Linked DNA regions of Drosophila melanogaster. The protein of the gene in region 2 interacts with the protein of the main gene of each other region in a pairwise test. Each region holds a gene or a part of one and is shown on either strand. Other genes may lie near its edges.

Evidence for each region.
Region 1: the proteins of CG13138 (region 2) and Pih1D1 interact in a two-hybrid assay, tested with the Drosophila melanogaster proteins (one large-scale study listed by BioGRID).
Region 3: the proteins of CG13138 (region 2) and SdhBL interact in a two-hybrid assay, tested with the Drosophila melanogaster proteins (one large-scale study listed by BioGRID).

What each region holds. Positions count from the first base shown.
Region 1 is NT_033779.5:12,720,112-12,723,865, forward strand, and holds the start of Pih1D1 (PIH1 domain containing 1), read right to left. Parts: upstream 1,733-3,754; 5' UTR 1,611-1,732; coding exon 1,542-1,610; intron 1,452-1,541; coding exon 1,340-1,451; intron 1-1,339. Other genes in the region: MRP (Multidrug-Resistance like protein 1), read left to right, coding at 2,320-2,373, 2,448-3,754.
Region 2 is NT_033779.5:10,300,375-10,304,128, forward strand, and holds the start of CG13138 (uncharacterized protein), read right to left. Parts: upstream 1,645-3,754; 5' UTR 1,582-1,644; coding exon 1,570-1,581; intron 1,486-1,569; coding exon 1-1,485. Other genes in the region: nmd (no mitochondrial derivative), read right to left, coding at 2,297-3,224, 3,281-3,462.
Region 3 is NC_004354.4:18,892,441-18,896,194, reverse strand, and holds the start of SdhBL (succinate dehydrogenase, subunit B (iron-sulfur)-like), read right to left. Parts: upstream 1,750-3,754; 5' UTR 1,534-1,749; coding exon 1,302-1,533; intron 1,171-1,301; coding exon 297-1,170; intron 241-296; coding exon 33-240; 3' UTR 1-32. Other genes in the region: Flacc (Fl(2)d-associated complex component), read left to right, coding at 2,743-3,436, 3,510-3,754.

The DNA.
Region 1 (3,754 bases), 2.4 Mb from region 2:
ACAATTTGTGCCGGCTGGCATGATCTGATCCAGAACAAACAAACCGTGTGTGTCAGTCAGGTTGTGAAGAGAGTGGCGTTTTTTGCTGAGAAAATTGTCAGGTTTTCTCCTTGATTTTATGGTGCAGCCAAGAGATCTCCATGCCATTTTGCTTAGCATCTCATCGTGAGTCGACGTTTTTGTTTTTAAAGAGAAATTTCACTTGGGTGTAAAGGCAAAACACACACATTTCGTACAATTGAAATATTAGGTTTTGTAAGGGGGTTTTTTCTGCCGATTGTTTTGTGCTTATATAATCGCTGCGGGAACAGGTTTCGCCGTTAATTATATCGAACTGAAAATACTCGTTTCAGATGTGTTAGAATTTTATCTAAAGTCAAATGGCTTAAAACACATGCGTGTACGGGGCAAACAAGTTTTTGGCGCCCATAAAATGTGACTAGCCCAATACCTTTTATGAGCTCCGTTCAAGATTCGCTTAAAGTTTCTCATTCCTTCTTTTTAGTTGTGTGTATCTCTGTGTAAATTAGTTCTTCTTCGAGGCGGGGAAACACGTTTTAGTCGCTCATTTGTCATTGGCATTGTACAATCTCGCTGGACTATAAACTATCGTTTCAAGTGGGCGCGATTAGACCTTCCTCCAAGTGGCCCTGGACATGTAAACACTTAACTGCCGTAGCGCACAATAACGACGGCTAGATTACAAAACTTCGTACTAACTACCCGCTCAACCCTCTTTTTGTTTCAATACGATAGATAGTTTGTCAAATAATAGTGTGCATAGGAATTAAACTGATTTGTTTGGATAATTGATTTTTTGCCTTTGTTTTGACGAATTATCCAATAGTTAAGTGCAAAATACTAATTAATAACCATTAAAAGATTGGAAATTTGAATATACAAAAAGTGTGCACAAACTATAGTTAACTTACGGAATTAATTAAAAAATTTAGAGCAATTGATTCAATTTTAAATACAAGTAATTCGGATATGTTTTCAATATTCGTAATTGGTTTTTAAAGTCTTGTCGAAGATTCGTTAGGATGGGTTTTTCTGTCCTATGACGTGTTCCATTCGCGTGCGTTTGTTCGCCTTATCGCGGGTTCACTGTACCACCCCGAGCGATTACGCGCAATCGACGTCGACGTGAGATGTTTATCAGGTTGACATGGTTCCGCGCTCGCAGAGATTACTGTGCACACACAAGTGCTAAGTAGACCATAAACCCAGAGTCATGCCTACTACTAGCTGGCTGTAATCTCCGGTTAGATTCTCCGCGCCACCGGCAGCGATTGCTGTGCCATGTGAAGCTCCGGCTGTTGCAATGGACGCCACTTACCTGCGGTCGGCTGGACAATCAGCGAGTCTCGCGGCGGCGGTTTCTGCTGCGGGCCGCTGCCCTCCGGATCGGCGCCTCCAAAGTACTGGTTAATATTGTCCTCAAACTCGTTCTGCATTTAGAAAATGAAAAAAAAAAAAAACAAGTTCATCTTTAGTGGCGCAGATAGTTCCTCACATCGAATTTCTCAAGTTTTGCTTACCCGCACAAAGCGCAGGTTCTGGTCGCGAAAATTGTCGTTGCCCTCAATGAAATTGGAACGACGCGACATTTTGCTGCACGATTTCAATTGCCAGTTACGAGTTAATCCAATGCAAATGCTATTTTTGCGCTGAGCGACGAGCGAAAAACGCAAATTTTATTTGCCAGAATGGAGCTGTCAACTCGATTGAAATGAAAACTAATGTGACAGTGTGAACGCCGGTGGAAAAACATTTAATGCCATGCGATAGGCTAAAAATACTAGATAGGCGTTTTCCCTGTACAGGGTGCTCATTAATAAAAAGTAAATGACAAGAATTTTCGAGAATAATTGCTATGAATTTCTATATGAAACTTTAAAAGCTTAATCCAAATTTAAGAAATTCATTTGTATTTTTGCTGTTGCAAATGCAATTGATTTCTACTTGCTTCTACTAAGTTTTCCAAGCAAATGTATTTTAATAATTTATGTACAAAAATTACAAGTTTCACTTAAATCAATATAAACAATTAAAATAACACGCAGTGCAGAATTATACACTCATTTTCCATCCGACACCCACTGTGCCCGCGAAATACCAGAAAAATACTAGCAATCAACTTCCCACTGTCACGATTAGCGGTTGTTGTAGTTGTGCGGCTTGGGAAGGAACAGCTGTTGGCCCGAAAATATAGATCCGTTTATTTCCTTGCCGCTTTACAGTTACCACATCGCCCGATATAGCATACGCATATAGCCCAATTGCACGTGGAGGAGGTTGCCGAGCAGTCGAGTAACCATGGCGGATGACACTAGTTCGCCGATGGACAGATTCTGCGGATCCACGTTCTGGGTGAGTGCATCAGCAGTGGTGTTCAATCCGAATGCATAGTGTAAATGTATGGTTTCCGTGTGTCCAACGAACAGAACGCAACAGAGACATGGTATACCAACGATCCGGACTTTACGCCCTGCTTTGAGCAAACGGCGCTGGTCTGGACACCCTGCGCCTTCTACTGGGCGTTCGTGATCTTTGACTTTTACTACCTGAAGGCGAGTTTGGACAGGAATATACCGTGGAACAAGCTGAACGTGAGCAAAGCTCTGGTGAATCTGGGTCTGCTGGTAATCACTGCCCTGGACCTAATTATGGCGCTGGTCAAGAAGGGCGGCGACTCTGAGCTGCCGCTCTACGACCTGGATGTTTGGGGTCCCATCATCAAGTTCGCCACCTTCCTGTTGCTCTTCATATTCATCCCGCTGAATCGAAAGTATGGCGTGCAGACCACGGGATGTCAGTTCATCTTCTGGTTCCTGCTCACTGTGCTGTCGATTCCCCGCTGCCGCACTGAAGTTCGACTGGACGCGGAGCGCCAGAAGATTCTGAATTCGCAACAGCCATCCGAGCAGGACTTTTCCTGGGAGGAGTATCAGTTCGTTAGCTTCTTTATCTTCTTCACCTTCACCAGCATTATGCTGATCCTGAACTGCTTCGCGGACGGAATGCCCAGACAAACCAAGTACCAGAGGGGTGAGAACGAGATTCCCGAACTGTCAGCCAGTTTCCTTTCCCGCATCACCTATCAGTGGTTCGACAAAATGGCCCTCAAGGGCTATCGCAACCCGCTGGAGGAGAAGGATCTGTGGGACCTGAGGCCGCAGGACAGCTGCTCCGAGGTCATGCCCATCTTCGCCCACCACTGGAACCAGAACGTGCGCAAGAACTACAAGAACAAGGCGCGCGTAGAACCCAAGGCGCAGTTTAGCAATGGCAACGTGACCTTTGAGAATCCCCACGGTGAGAAGAATGGCCGCAAGAAGGGCATGGCCAGTATTATGCCGCCAATTTACAAGTCCTTCGGAGGCGTCTTTCTGTTCGGCGCCCTAATGAAGCTGTTCACCGACACCCTGACATTTGCCCAGCCCCAAGTCCTGAGTTTGATCATCAGCTTCGTCGAGGCCCAAGATGCCGAGCCCGAATGGAAGGGTATCTTATACGCTGTCCTGCTTTTCGTTTTGGCCGCTGCACAGACCTTTATTCTGGGGCAATATTTCCACCGAATGTTCATTGTGGGCCTGCGAATCAGGACAGCTTTGATCAATGCCATCTACCGCAAGGCCCTGCGCATTTCGAACTCCACCAAAAAGGAGTCCACCGTGGGCGAGATCGTCAACCTGATGGCCGTGGATGCCCAGCGATTCATGGAACTGACAACCTACTTAAACATGATCTG
Region 2 (3,754 bases):
TACGTTGGAGCTATTGACAAAGTCTGGAGCAGAGTTGGCGGTCTCCAAATCCTTTCCCGTGATATTGAAAGGAGTAGGGGGACCGACGAGTTTCAGGGAAACCCCATCCCGTCCAGGAGAAGTCGATTCAATGCTAGTTTTGGGTACGTATTCCTGGTTATACTGCGAATCAAAACTACTTTTTGTTACGTAATCGTGCTTAAATTGAGGATCAATACTACTTTTCGTCACGTAATCGTGCTTAAATTGAGGATCAATACTACTTTTCGTCACGTAATCGTGCTTAAATTGAGGATCAATACTACTTTTCGTCACGTACTCGTTTTTAAACTGCTGATCGAGATTAGTTTTCGTTGCGTAATCGTGCTTTAACTGTGTGGGCACGGAGCTTTGATAGTCCTCCATCCTCGGAGGATGATCCAATTCCCTAGATTTGTATATCCTGTTGTAGTAGTTTGAGGATGGTAGGCTGGATGGTTCGTGTTCTCTGGGCGGTGGATGATCCATTTCCATGTTAAATTTGAACTCCTCGCCGCGTGGATAACTTTCGTAGAGTGATGATGACTCGAACTTATATGGCTCGCTGGAACGAATGTAAACGGGAACCTTTCGTTCTACCTCAACCTTATAGGGCACTGGTACCTTCTTCTCGAGATGAACTGGCACCTTTATTTCGACCGGATACGGAACAGTCCGGAGCACTGGATACGGTTTCGGTACGTGGACTATTTTCTCAATTATCTTTTCGACCACATATGGTTTGGGCACTTGGACTGGCTTTGGGATGTGAATCACCTTTTCCACTATCTTTTCGATAGGCACGTGCACTATTTTCTCAACTGTAACATTCACCAGCTTGGGCACATGTACGATCTTCTCGACAATTTTCTCAATGGGCACATGGACGACCTTTTCCACGGGATACGGTTGTGGTACTGTTTTGATCAGCTCCTTTATGTGGTTGTGATGATGGTGGTGATGATGATGCTTGATTTTCACCTTCATCCGCTTCGCATCCTTCTTACTCGAGTGCTCGACATGTTCGTGCAGAATCGCTTGTGTTCCGACCTGTTCGGATGCCTGGTATTGACCATCGTCCTCATCGATATGCTCGTGGATCTCTTCGAATGTATGATAATGCCTACTTTCCGTACTCTCATCCGCATAATTGGGACTCACATTTTTTCTTCGAGCACCAGATGGCTTATATTTCAGTTTATTCCTCGTCATTTTATCGCCTTGCTTTTGATAGTTTTTCACACCGCGTTTCAAAGTCACATTGCGTTCGGTTTCCCGATTATAATGTTGCAGATCCAGCTTTTCCGATCTTCTTCCGGTATTGTGAGTAGATCCTTTTCCGTATTCAGGATAGCTCCACTCGGCACTTTCGACACTATTGGTTTTATTCACAGCATAGGAATTACTGTGTGCAGTACTTCCAATAATTATTAAGGTTATGAATAGGTATCCAGGAATCAAAGTTAACTGAAATAGAAAGGATGCGCGTAAATGAAGTATGTACATACAAAATATCTCCTATCAAAAAGACAAATTGGAAATATAGCTTACCATTGGGTTCATTTTTTGTTAAGTATATAGTCTCGCTTGGATTTGAAGTGGTTTAATCAACGCCTTCAACAGAAATGATTTGAGCCAATCGAAGAAAGTATTTATATGAGCACGAAACATAATTAAAATGTGCAGAAGCAAATTTCTTCGCTTGAAGTTTGTACACTCTATATTTTTCTTAAATTAAGAAATTATACAAAAACATCAAGAACTAATTTGTTTTGGTTTGATTATTTAAAATGTATGCATGTTTTTATTCATTTTTAATTAGATATACAAATGTGTAGCTTTGAAATGCCGTCAGAAATAAACGACCTTTTTAAAAGAGAATAAAACTGCACAAGTTTACTTATATTTTTTTTTACGATTGAAAGCCCACGGTCGCGTGACGCAAGTTGTGTGTGTGTTTGAAGAAGTGTACAAGTGCAATATCTTTATAAATGTTTGAAATTTCTCTAGGTGAATATTTCACAGAAGCCCGTAAATGTAATAATTAAAGTGCATTGAGCTCCGCTTTACGGAAATGCTATGGATTGTGTAATTTCCTGCAGTATCCGTTGCTGTTTTCAAGACTACCAAAACTACGTTTTCCGGATACCCATTTTGGAATGCAGAGAACAGGGTTAATTAACACATAACATTGGAGCTCCTCTCGAAAGGCAAATAAAAAGTTTATTATACAAATTTAAGTTGGATATATCGGGAGCTTGAATAAACAATGGTCAGCTTAATCTAATTCGATTCTATTCTCTAAGAATAGGCTGCTCGTGTGCATCTTTGATTCCTTAATTTTTAAGTGCGAGCCCAGCAAATCGTCCATGGTGATGCGGACGTTGTTGCGATCAAGCGCTGTAGCTGACGGATCTCTGGACGTGATGAGCTGCCTCATTCGGTAAACTGAAGCATTCCGGCACATTTCCCGCAGGTCTGAGCCCGAGAAGCCATTTGTGAGCTTGGACAAGCGATTCAAGTCGACATCCTGACTTACTTCCTCCGATTGGAGGATCAGCTTCAGGATGTCTTTTCGTTGGGTCTCCGAGGGCAGACCAATGTGGAATTGGGCTGGCATGCGGCGCACAATGGCCTTGTCTAAATCCTGCGGCCTGTTCGTGGCACCCATCACAATCACCGTCGAGTTGGCGTTCGTGCTGAGGCCATCCCACAGCATCATAAACTGGGTCTTCATCATGGCGGTAGCCTCGTGGTCGTTCATGTTTCGAGATCGCAAAAATGAGTCTATTTCGTCAATAAAAATAATGCATGGCTCGATTCGCGATGCAAGCGAGAAGACAGCAGAAGTCAATTTCTGGGATTCCCCGTACCACTTGTCGGTAAGAATGGCGACGTCCAAGTTGATAAAGCGCATTCCCGCCTCTTTTGCCGTCGCCTTCGCTATCAGCGTCTTTCCACAGCCCGGTGGTCCATGGAGCAGGACGCCTTTGGGCGCCTGCCACAGCTTCGAATGCTTGAAGAGATCCTTGTGCTGGATTGGCAGCACCACCGATTCCCGGAGCTCCTGAATGACTGAATCCAGACCGGCGATATCGGCCCAACTGACTGTTATGTCGGCGGGAACAACAAGATGTGACGCAATCATAAGCTCGTAGTCGCTAAACTCTTGCCCTCTTAGCTTGAAGCCCTCCTGCTCGGCTAGCCTGCATGGAAAAGGTTTACACATGTACAATATATGCTATATGAGTCTAATATAAACCTCTTAAGCTGCTCCTCAGCCAGAACTTTGGCCTTTTTCTTGTTTTTACTGGTCGGATCCATCTGGTTCATCATCCATTTCACCGAATAATATGTGATCAGCGAGGCCACAGACAGGCGAACCAGTACCTGGAATATCTGCCCCTTGCTTAGATCCGATCCGCCCAGTCCGAAGTTGTCCATGTTTCTGCAGATATTCTATTTAGAGCAAATACGTTGGCCTGCACGAATCTAATCTTTCTTGTTCTTATTCCCCATGCACACCGACGACAGTGTGACCAGGTGCTCCGACTGAAATTGACATCGATAAGCTCAAAATTGCTGCCAACTGAATTCAATTTTTGTTAGCCTATTCCTTTTCCACTGTTCCGAAAATATTTTTTCAGCTTAAAATAAAAAGATTTTTTTTTTTTTTAATTTTGAGTATTAACATATTGGGCATATATTAAGTGAGAGCATTGTGAAGCATGAAGAT
Region 3 (3,754 bases), on a different chromosome or scaffold from region 2:
CCATGGCGTTATGTCGATATTTCGTTGTCCTCCTACGCCTTTCCCGCGAAAAGGGCGTCGGTCTTGAGTTGTGGTTTTCCCTTCTTCTTCAGTCCCACAAGCAGCTGCTTCAGCTGAATGATGGCTCTAGCCGGATTGAGGTGCTTGGGGCACGTGTTGGTGCAGTTCATGATCGAGTGGCAGCGGTATAGCTTCCAGGGGTCCTTGAGAAAGTCCAGTCGCTGCTCGGTGGCCTCGTCCCTGCAAAGCAAATCTTAGCACACTGGGGAAACTGGCAGCAACATGGCCTCACTCACCTGGAATCAATGACCCAGCGATAGGCCTGCATGAGGACGGCGGGACCCAGATACTTATTGCTGTTCCACCAGTATGATGGACAGGAGGTCTGGCAGCAGGCGCACAGGATGCACTCGTACAGCCCGTCCAGCACCAGACGATCGTCCACGGACTGCAGATACTGTGCCGTTCCAGCTTCCCGCTTCAGATCCTTGCGCTGCAGCCACGGCTGGATGGAGCGGTACTGATCGTAGAACTGGCTCATGTCCGGCACCAAATCCCGCACCACATACAGGTGCGGCAGTGGATAGATGCGGCAGCACTTGCTCTCATTCTGGTCGATGGACGACACGCAGGCCAAGGTGTTTGTTCCATTGATGTTCATCGCGCAGGAGCCGCAGATGCCCTCGCGACAGGAGCGCCTAAAGGTCAGCGTGGGGTCCATCTCGTTCTTGATCTTGATCAGGGCATCCAGCACCATGGCGCCGCACTGCTCCAGGTCCACCTCGTAGGTCTGCGTCTGCGGCTGATCCCCGGGCTTCCAGCGGTAGATCTCGAAGGTCTTCAATCGCGGCTTCTTCGCTTTCACTGGGGGTGCAGATTTAGCAGGCGGAGGAGGTGGTGGAGGTGGAGGCGTTGCTGGTGCGTTGCCCGAAGCTGGCTTTCCGGTGGACGCTCCTCCGGGCTTGGCGGATCCGGCGGCGGCGGCAGCTGCTCCTCCAGGCTTGGCGGCTCCGGCGGGGGCTGCTCCTCCGGGCTTGGCGGCTCCGGCGGGGGCTGCTCCTCCCGGCTTGGCGGCTCCGGCGGGGGCTGCTCCTCCGGAGTACTGTCGTTTTGTGGCGATTCCTCCGGCGGCTGATCCTCCGGTGGCTGATCCTCTGAGCCCTCTTCCTCCTTTAATGAATATAGAAATTTCAGTTAAGCATATCAATAAGTGCAGGTGTCATTTATGAAATGTCATTATGACAAAGTCATTGACAACCCAGAAAATTGTGGAATCAGAAAACTTTTCACTTAGAACTAACCTGCTCCTTGTCCACCTCCTTGGAGGCTGGAGTGGGTGCACCGGGGTACCAGGGATACGGCGGATACTGGGGTGGCGGCAGCCAGCGCTGGTCCGGGTATCGATAGGGTGGACATAGGCGCCGCAGGACGGGAAACGGGTTCGGACACATCCCTGTTGGCCAACACGTAATTTCTAAACAGCCACGTGCTCCGTTTATTCAGCAGCCGAGGCTGCCGGCGCAACAAATTCATCGGTTTTCGAGCGAATGAATGAGACTTTAAGTTAAAATGTGTACTTATAAAAATATATGTGTTTTTTTTTTTTTTTTGTTGAGAGAGAATGTGTGCCGAGGCGATGAGGTGTTGAGGTGTTGAGGTGTTGAAGTGTCGAACTGTGTAGCAAAACTGAGGAGAAGCCGGTGAAGTGCCCGTAATACGACTTGACACTAGAGGCATAGCCAGCTGGATTTGAAAATCTTTTCGAAATGAAAAGTTCAGTTTAACTGAGTAGTAGAACAGGCTGCTTTATACAATGTTTTGGATGCGTGGAATTTAAATCAACTAAAGAGAGTTCCTCGACTATAAGATACCCGTTACTCAGCTAGTGGATGTGAGAACGCGAAATTTTATCATTTTCTGGGCAAATCGATAGAAATTTACAAGATTAATAAAAATGCGAAAAAAGATCAACAAACTTGCGCTACGTCTTTGTCTCTAGAATCTGTATGCTGGATCTCAACCTTCTAGGTACGGACATGGCGGACAGACGGACATGACTAGATCGACTCCTGATCAAGAATATATATACTGTACATGGTCGGAAACGCCTTCTTCTGACTGCTACATACTTTTCAACAAATTTAGGGTACCCTTTTACTCTTCGAGTAACGGGTATAAAAATGGATAACAAGTCAGATTTGAATCCCCGTTGCTGAACCGGTAAATTGATATAGAAATTGTAATTCAATCCAAAACCGAACTCATTTTAAGCAGAAATTGTTACAAAAATACAATATATTAATATAAATACAAGTATTAATTAATATTATTAATTTTAATAATATTTTTAATGTTAAATTAATATTTATTTATAGTTAAAGGCACTTAATTATTTAATTATATTTTATTATAATAATGTGATACAATAATAAACAATATTTTCAAACTTATACCGATCGATATGTACCGCCGTGCTGACTGTAATCGATGGTCGCGATGCCCTGCCAATCGACTATCGATAACAACAAACACGAAGATATAGAGGAAAATAGAGAAGAAGAAGAGTTAAAGAAAACGCCAACAAAATAGACAACAAGGCAAGTCCGCGCCTCCGAACAAGGACATTATACCACAAGACACGCTGCAACTAGTTATAAGCCGCATAGCCGTGCTGATTTTCGACCGGAGTACGAAAAGAAAGCAGCCAAAACGGAGGCGCGCAGGCTAGCGGAGATCGCGGCGATGGAGAAGAAGGCCAAGGAGTCGCTGCGCCGCTACAAGAAGGCCGCCCGTCACAGTGCGACGCACTCGAGCAGCTCGGACTCCACCTCGGACTCCGACAGCGGGAGCAGCTCGTACAGCAGCACGGACAGCGAGCAGGGCGTGGGCGGCGTCGGCGTGGGGGTGGGCGTACCTGGTGGCGCCGGTGGTCCCGGCGGCAGTGGCAGCGTCCACGGTCATCCCCATACCCACGGCCATGGGCATCATCCGCGCTCCGCGGAGCGTCATCATCGCAAAAAGAAGAGCTCACGGCGCGGCGGCAGCTCGTCCGGAGATGAACCATCGTCGTCGCGCCGCAAGCGAGACAAACGGGATCATGTGCAAAAGAAGCTGGTGGCCAAGCGAAATCATATCAAACGGAAACTGAAGGAAGCGCGCCTTAAGAAACGGGCGGCCGCCGCCCTCAGTGGTCACGTCCATCGTTCCCTGTCGCCGACGACGCGAGCCAAGCTAAAGAAGCTGGCCGAGCGAAAGAGGCTACGGGCTGCCAGCAAGGAGCAACGGGAGCGGGACAAGCTGCGCGTCGTCCAACGAGACAGAGAGCGAGACCATCATCGATTGGGCAGCAGTAGGAGTCCGCCGAGCAGCAGCACTACCACCACCACCAAGATTCGCATCCATCAGGACATCGTGGGTAAGCGGCAAAAGAGTCCAGGTAACTATCAGATACTACATATAGTTATGTCTAGGCTCAACCCACTAACCCATTAATTTTGCTTGACTTTAAGGTTTAGGTTCTGGTCTTGGAGGCGGCAGCAGCAGCTCATCCTCGCGAATGCATCACCAACTGATGTCGCGAGAGAAGATCATCATCCAGACCCGCGCACGTGGACGTACTCCGTCCCTGGAACGGGAGCGGGAAAGGGAGCGCGAGCGAGAACGAGAAAGAGAGCGCGAACGCCACGATCTCTCATTGCGGGAGCGAGATCGTCGGGATCGGGAGCGCGAGCGTGCGGAACGGGAGGCAGCCAGG